2 linked regions of the Rattus norvegicus genome follow. The protein of the gene in region 2 binds, or shares a complex with, the protein of the main gene of each other region. Links are inferred from orthologs where the notes say so. Each region holds a gene or a part of one and is shown on either strand. Other genes may lie near its edges.

The links. Proteins that work in one complex are often made in the same cells at the same time.
Region 1: the proteins of Eif2b5 (region 2) and Eif2b4 are in contact, whole or in part, in a cryo-EM structure (PDB 7D46), measured with the Homo sapiens proteins. The link is inferred for Rattus norvegicus from reciprocal best matches to the Homo sapiens genes EIF2B5 and EIF2B4. Residues at the interface, in NP_003898.2 of Homo sapiens: Arg163, Lys294, Arg339, His340, Glu357; in NP_001029288.1 of Homo sapiens: Arg357, Tyr393, Pro396, Glu397, Lys466, Arg467, Glu469.

What each region holds. Positions count from the first base shown.
Region 1 is NC_086024.1:30,906,235-30,909,315, forward strand, and holds the end of Eif2b4 (translation initiation factor eIF2B subunit delta), read left to right. Parts: intron 1-241; coding exon 242-369; intron 370-483; coding exon 484-661; intron 662-2,034; coding exon 2,035-2,215; intron 2,216-2,325; coding exon 2,326-2,525; 3' UTR 2,526-2,569; downstream 2,570-3,081. UniProt on the Homo sapiens protein: Acts as a component of the translation initiation factor 2B (eIF2B) complex, which catalyzes the exchange of GDP for GTP on eukaryotic initiation factor 2 (eIF2) gamma subunit.
Region 2 is NC_086029.1:93,905,991-93,910,269, reverse strand, and holds the start of Eif2b5 (translation initiation factor eIF2B subunit epsilon), read left to right. Parts: upstream 1-1,469; 5' UTR 1,470-1,505; coding exon 1,506-1,685; intron 1,686-2,702; coding exon 2,703-2,827; intron 2,828-3,670; coding exon 3,671-3,856; intron 3,857-3,936; coding exon 3,937-4,114; intron 4,115-4,202; coding exon 4,203-4,279. UniProt on the Homo sapiens protein: Acts as a component of the translation initiation factor 2B (eIF2B) complex, which catalyzes the exchange of GDP for GTP on eukaryotic initiation factor 2 (eIF2) gamma subunit.

The DNA.
Region 1 (3,081 bases), on a different chromosome or scaffold from region 2:
TCGTCATTGCTTAGGTGAGCACTTAGGCACTTGTACTTAGACCCATTGGCATGGGGATTTTCGTTTTAAGACAGTCTGTGTAGTCTTGGCTGACCTAGAGCTCAATAGATAGGCCAAGTTGGCCTCGAATTCAGAGATCCTCCTGCCTGAGTGCTGGGATCAAAGGTGCGTGCCACCGTGCTTGGGACTTATGGCATGCCAACCAGAGGGTGAACCGCATCCATGTTCTCTCAACATTTAGGCCAAGTCAGAACTTAAAGAAGCCATCGATCGGTATGTGCAAGAGAAGATTGTGCTTGCATCTCAGGCAATTTCACGATTTGCTTCTAAGAAGATCAGTGATGGGGACGTGATCCTAGTATATGGATGGTACGGTCAACACCTGACAGAAAACTAGGGAGGGGGACAGCAGAAGAAAGGTCTGCCCTTGCCTTTGCAAACAGGCTGCTTTATAACAAACATCTCTTCTCCCTCCATATCAAGCTCATCTCTGGTGTCGAGAATTCTCCAGGAGGCCTGGGTTGAGGGCAGGCGCTTCCGGGTGGTGGTGGTAGACAGCCGGCCCCGGCTGGAGGGAAGGCATATGCTCCACTGTCTGGTCCGTGCTGGGGTCCCTACCTCCTATCTGCTGATTCCTGCGGCCTCCTATGTGCTCCCAGAGGTGAGCATTCTCACAGGAAAGCAACTCTAGACATAAAAGAGACGGATATAGTAACACCAACTTAATAGTCTTACCTTTGTTCCTTTTTTTTTTTTTTATTGAGGCGGGGAATAAGGGAATAAGGTGGTGGAGTAGGGAAAGGCAGTGTGCCCCAGTTCCCATGTGGAAGTCAGGACACCATCAGAAGTCAGTTCTTTCTCTTCTTTCTTTTTTCTTTCTTTCTTTTTTTTTTTTTGTTTGTTTTTTATTGGTTTTTAGAGACAAGGTTTCTCTGTAGTCCTGGCTGTTCTAGAGCTCAATTTGTAGACCAGGCTGGCCTTGAACTCACAGAGATTCACCTGCCACCATACCAGGCTGAGGCAGATCTTTCTTTCCACCATTTATGTCCTGAGGCTGGAACTCAGAAATCCAGGCTTCACAGTGACTTTACCCAGTGAGCCACCTCAGTGGCCCTTACTCATTTCATTCATGTATTTGTTTGTTTGTTTATATTTTGGGGAGAAAGGGTTCTCTGTGTAGCTTTTTTTGGAGGGGAGGAGGAGAATCAAGGTCTCATTGTGTAGTCCTGGCTGGCCTGGAACCCACAGAGTTCTGCTTGTCTTTGCTTCCCAAGTCGTGGGATCAAAGGTGTGCACCATACCCAACACTTTTATCCTTAATAGGAAAAAGAAGCTAGCTTCTGGGTGTGGCATTCAGGAGCCCTAGACAGGTGATCTCTGAGTTTGAGGCCAGCCTGGTCTACAGAGTGAGTTCCAGGACAGCCAGGGCTACCCAGAGAAACGCTGTCTCAAAAAGCCAACAGAAATGGTTGGTGAAGTGGCTCAACTAGTGAAGAGCACTGGCTGCTCTTCTAGAGGTCGGGAGTTCAATTCCCAGCAGACGCATGGTAGCTCATGACCATCTGTAAGGTGATCCGATGCCCTCTTCTGGCATTTGGGTGTATATGCAGCAGAGCACTCATACAACAAATAAATATTAAAAAAAGGAAGAAAAGGGGGTTGGGGATTTAGCTCAGTGGTAGAGCGCTTGCCTAGGAAGTGCAAGGCCCTGGGTTCGGTCCCCAGCTCCGAAAAAAAGAACCAAAAAAAAAAAAAAAAAAAAGGAAGAAAAGGCAAAAGCATCTGCTATATGCAGTGCGGTAGTACAGGTTAGCTGTTACAAGAATTATATTAAAGTAGCAGCCATTAGTAGGAATGGACAGTTTCACTGTTCTGTTCTGGGATGATATAAGACAGCAAGGTATTTTCTAAGAGCAGCCAATGTAACCACATTGTTGCTTACTGTTGCTCTTCTGGGCAGGAGTGGGGAACTTTATTATATACTGATATAACAGGACATTTTCCCCTCATTTCCACATTGTCTAAAATAAACAGGTTTCTAAGGTGCTATTGGGAGCTCATGCACTCCTGGCCAATGGATCTGTGATGTCGAGGGTAGGGACAGCACAGTTGGCCCTGGTGGCCCGAGCTCATAATGTTCCAGTACTGGTCTGCTGTGAAACATACAAGTTCTGTGAACGCGTGCAGACCGATGCCTTTGTCTCCAACGAGCTAGGTAAGCAGAATAGAATGGAGGCTTTCGGGGACCTGAGGAAACTTGACACGGGAAGGGGAGGTTAACCACACCTTCTCTAGAAGGACTTTGACGCCCGCTTCTCTTTGCAGATGACCCTGACGATCTCCAGTGTAAGCGGGGAGACCAGGTGACCCTGGCGAACTGGCAGAACAACTCATCACTCCGGTTGTTGAATCTGGTCTATGACGTGACTCCCCCCGAGCTTGTGGATCTGGTGATCACAGAGTTGGGCATGATCCCTTGCAGTTCTGTGCCTGTTGTCCTCCGAGTCAAGAGTAGTGACCAATGAAAGGCATCAAGGGTCAATAAAAAACTTATTCCTTACTGCCATAACTCTGCTGCCTTTGTACCTCGTAAGTCAGGAACCCACACTCTGCGGCCTTCATCACCTACTTGAATCTGTCTATAGAAACCCTTCTAAAATGGTTAGCTCCAGGACAGTGCTTGGAACAAGATGGTTTGACTAGGCAACAGACCTATTCATAGGCCAAGCATGGTAGCGTTCCCAGAATTCTCCTTTAATCCCAGCAGGGGTAGCCAGTCTTTTAAACTTAAAGGCCAGCCTGGTCTCCATGTGAGTTCCAAGACAGCTAGGGTTATAGAGTGAGACTTTGTTTCAAAAGCAATTACTTTTGAGTTGGAGTTGGAGAGGTGGCTCAGTGGTTAAGAGCACTGGCTAAGGGAAGGTGTGGCAGGACAATGGAGGCTGATGTAAAGATTCTGCTCTGTGTATTTACAGGTTGTTATCAATGTTCCTTTTTTTTTTTTTTTTTTTTTTCCGGAGCTGGGGACCAAACCCAGGGCCTTGCGCTTCCTAGGCAAGCGCTCTACCACTGAGCTAAATC
Region 2 (4,279 bases):
CAGATCTCACTTCCTCCTGTCTCAGTCGGTGGTGGAAATATACACCCTTGGGTGACCTGTACTACATTGATTTAATTGAAATTTTTTTACTAACCTTTTCCCTCTTTGTACCGACGTTTTCAAAAGCAAATGTTGTTCTCACAGCACCCTCCTTAACTGAGCGAAGAAAGAAATAACAGGTTTCTGAGTTCCATGAGGAATCTAAACTGTAGAAACACAAACTAACCACTCTCTGTGGGGAGAGAGGGCATCTGGGGGAGGTGGGTGGAAGCAACAGAGGGAGTTGCTGAAACCTGCAGGCTGTGGGATTAGCAGAGGTTCTGGTGCTGAATGGGCACAGATTGCTTACAGGAATTTTTTGGCTTGACAGAATTACGCCCAGGCTGTGTGCCATTGCTTCCTCAGCCTTAAGCTTGATTTATAAACTGCGGCCACAGCTTCTTTTCCCGAAACCTGTTGCTCTGCTTCAGCGTCCAGCCTGAAAAGCTTGCTTACTACGCCCCAATCCTACAGTTTACTGCTGCTCTTAGATCCAGCCTCTTCTGTGATAACGCTTGTGGAACTAGGGAGTCAGATGAGCCCCAGCACCAGTCTTTCCACTCACTAGTTGGGCGTGCTTCCTTGGTCTGATTTAAATGTTTAAGAAATGCCCGTGCTTTAGGTCGTATTTCCAGAACGGGAGGAGGGAGGGGACACGGAGGAGGGAAGGGACACGACCTAGCCCATAATCCGCGGGTGCTCCGTAAAATTAACCGCTTGGGGTTGGGGATTTAGCTCAGTGGTAGAGCGCTTGCCTAGCAATCACAAGGCCCTGGGTTCGGTCCTCAGCTCCGAAAAAAAAAAAAAAAATTAACCGCTTGCCTCCACGTTCAGTATTTGGGCAGATCGTGGGTTCCCTCCCAAAGACGACAGATCCCCTTAGATGACTAGAATTGCAAGTGGAGAGCTACATTTAATTTTTAGATTTATGTGGAAGAGTGTTTTGCCAGCTTGTATGTATTCCACAGGCATGTGTCCAGTTGAAAGTGAGTTGGACACCACAGAATTGCAATTGTGCATAGTTGCTTGCCACCACGTGAGCGCTGGGCGCCGAAGTTGGATTCTCTGCAAGAGCAGTAAGTGCCCTTAACCGATGAGCGATTTCTCCAGCTCTGGGCAGGGAAGCTGCAGACTCCTGCCGGGCGATCACAAGCCTACTCAGCTCGCTGCCATCTTAGCTTGCCTAACTCAGCAGCACTCGCTGACCGAGTTTGACAACGGTGGGATCTCACCCCTCCGTGGTAAGTGCACCACCCAGTACCGCCAACTCCTACAAAACTAGCACGGTCTGCCACGCCCCGGCTCTGGCCTTGCACGGGGGTGGGTGGGGCCTGCTAGTATACACATGCGCACTCCTTCCTCTTTCTCTCCTTGCAATCACACCTTCGCGTTTTGACTGCGAGTCCTTTTTGTCCCCTACTGCGTGCGGTGTGGCTTCCCGGCGGACGTGCTGACTGCGAAGCAAAATGGCAGCCACTGCGGCGGTTCCCAGCGCTGTAGGCGGCCGAGCGAACAAACGCGGCGGCGGCTCCGGCGGCGGTGGAACCCAAGGTGCGGAGGAGGAGCCGCCGCCGCCCCTCCAGGCAGTTTTAGTGGCCGATAGCTTCGACCGCCGCTTCTTCCCCATCTCCAAGGACCAGCCTCGGGTGAGGACCCGGCACGCGAGCAACCTGCGGGCCTGGAGGGTAGCAGGGCTACAAGTTGCCACTGCAGCTTGCTAGTGAAGCGTGTTCTGAAAGTTACCATAAAGTTGAGTTTTTCTGGTTGAGAGAAAGTGGAGGGACTGACTGAAACCCCGGTGGCTGTCCGTCCAGATGAGTAGCTAGCAAATATGGATTCTCGCAGGGCTGTCTGCCCAGCCTTGAGAAGGATTGAGAGGGCTGTGTATAGAATCAGTGTTTGAGGGGGTTGGGGATTTAACTCAGTGGTAGAGCGCTTGCCTAGCAAGCGCAAGGCCCTGGGTTCGGTCCCCAGCTCCGAAAAAAAGAAAAGGAAAAAAAAAAATCAGTGTTTGAAAGAAGCCTTCCCAGGGGGATTTAGTAGCGCAAGGGGGCCTCCATTGCCTCTAACCTTGCAGGACATGGGCAATTTAAAAAATGCTTCAAAAAGCGATGGTAATATATACCTAAAGGGAAAAAGGCTAGATCTCGGCCTGGTACGGGCTCTTTTCCTCCCATCTGCTGCAAGGGGAACCGAGTGGGTTCCCCTCAGCCTTGGAACTACCTAGACATAGGACATTGGTATTGGGCTTGCAGACTGCTCGGTCCCTCAGCAAACAGGGATTTGCCTTTTACTTAAGAATTCCTAAGGCTAACGACTGTTCACTTTTGACAAGTGTTTGAATGATTTCTGTGACTCAGTGTCAATAGGAGGAAATTCTATGAGAAGAAGGTCTTAGTGCTTAGAGTTATAGAGCTATGATTTAGGGCCAACATTTGTCCTTAATGTCAGCCCTGGTTTCCTATAACATATTCTGTGTCTGATACCATGTCTACTAGGCCCAAATCTTAGACTGAACCTTTGGGCCTATTTGCTTTAGAATAAAAGGGTAAAGCAAACTGTAGTGTCTGCAAGCCCCGATGAAAGGCACATTGTTGCAGTGGGGTACCTGAAGTATAATAATGGCTTGAAGACCTCAGACTTTTTCATATCCTGCCCTATAGGTCCTATTGCCCCTGGCCAATGTCGCGCTGATCGACTATACTCTGGAATTCTTGACTGCCACGGGTGTACAGGAAACATTTGTCTTTTGCTGCTGGAAGGCTGCTCAGATCAAAGAACACTTACAGTAAGGCTCGGGAATTTTTCCTTTCCATGCTTCACCGTCTTTTTTCCAGTCCTTCCAGCATGGGTTTGACGAGGTAGAGACATGAGGAAAACTGCATCTGTTCTGAGCTCGTGTATGATTTAGTGTTTTCTTCACGTGTCCTGAGAGAAGCTGCTGGAGCTTTCTTTGCCTTGAGGTTTCAGTGATGGAAATCGAAAGGCTTGGCTATGATTTTCTGAGTCTTTCAAAGTTCGTTCCAGTGAGTTTTGCTTTTTATGTTCCAGTGGGTATGTTATTGGAAGAGCATCTTTATTTTCCCACTGAATTTCTAAACACTGTCTGTTCTGACCCCCCAGTGACAGGAACAAGTTCTTTCCCCTTGTCTCCCCCACTGCCCTCCTTAGTTTCAAGCCCACTGTAAGTTCTTAAGAGATGCTTGTTAAAATTTGGAAGAGCTAGTCTGGGAATTTATGAGTTTTGGAAGTAAAGACTAGTATACTGAACATGTTTTCCATGTTACCGTGCTTAAAGTTGATACAGACTCAGAACAAGAAAGATGACTTGAAAAAAAAAATGTGTTCCCAGAATACTTTCATAGCCTAGATTTCATAGGATTTTAAATTCAAACTCACATTTCAAGACGGGAGTCAAGGTATAGAAAGGAAATGGTCATACTTCTCAAACACATAAAACTAATGACACTGGAAGCCGAAACCATTTATTATGGTTCACGCGTCTCTTTGAAGCCAGAGACGCTGGCAGGAAGCCAGAGAAGCCACAGAGGAGTATAAATGCTGAATGGAGGTTAGAGGTCAGGTCTGTGATAGTCTGTTTACTTTATAGTTCCTCATCACTTTCCCACAGGAAATCCAAATGGTGCCATCCTACGTCCCTCAATGTTGTTCGAATAATCACATCAGACCTGTACCGATCACTAGGAGATGTCCTCCGTGATGTCGATGCCAAGGCCTTGGTGCGCTCTGATTTCCTCCTGATATATGGAGATGTCGTCTCAAATATCAATATTTCCAAAGCCCTGGAGGAACACAGGTCAGGTGGGGAAGACGGCAGGGACAAGACTTAGGGACCAGTTGAGTCCTAAGACTAACTCTGCCCCTCCTTCTTTATAGGTTAAGAAGGAAGCTAGAAAAAAATGTGTCTGTCATGACAATGGTGTTCAAAGAGTCCTCACCCAGTCACCCTACACGCTGCCATGAGGACAATGTGGTGCTAGCTGTGGATAGCACCACAAACAGGATTCTTCACTTCCAGAAGACCCAAGGCCTCCGCCATTTCTCCTTTCCTTTGGTAACTGGGTGTCTGGGGAACTCAGGTAGAAGAGGGAGGAGCTTCGAGAGGAGAGATGAGCTAAAGCCTTTGTAACTTCTCCCCTCAGGGCCTATTCCAGGGCAGTCTAGACGGAGTGGAGATTCGATATGACTTGTTGGATTGTCACATCAGCATCTGCTCTCC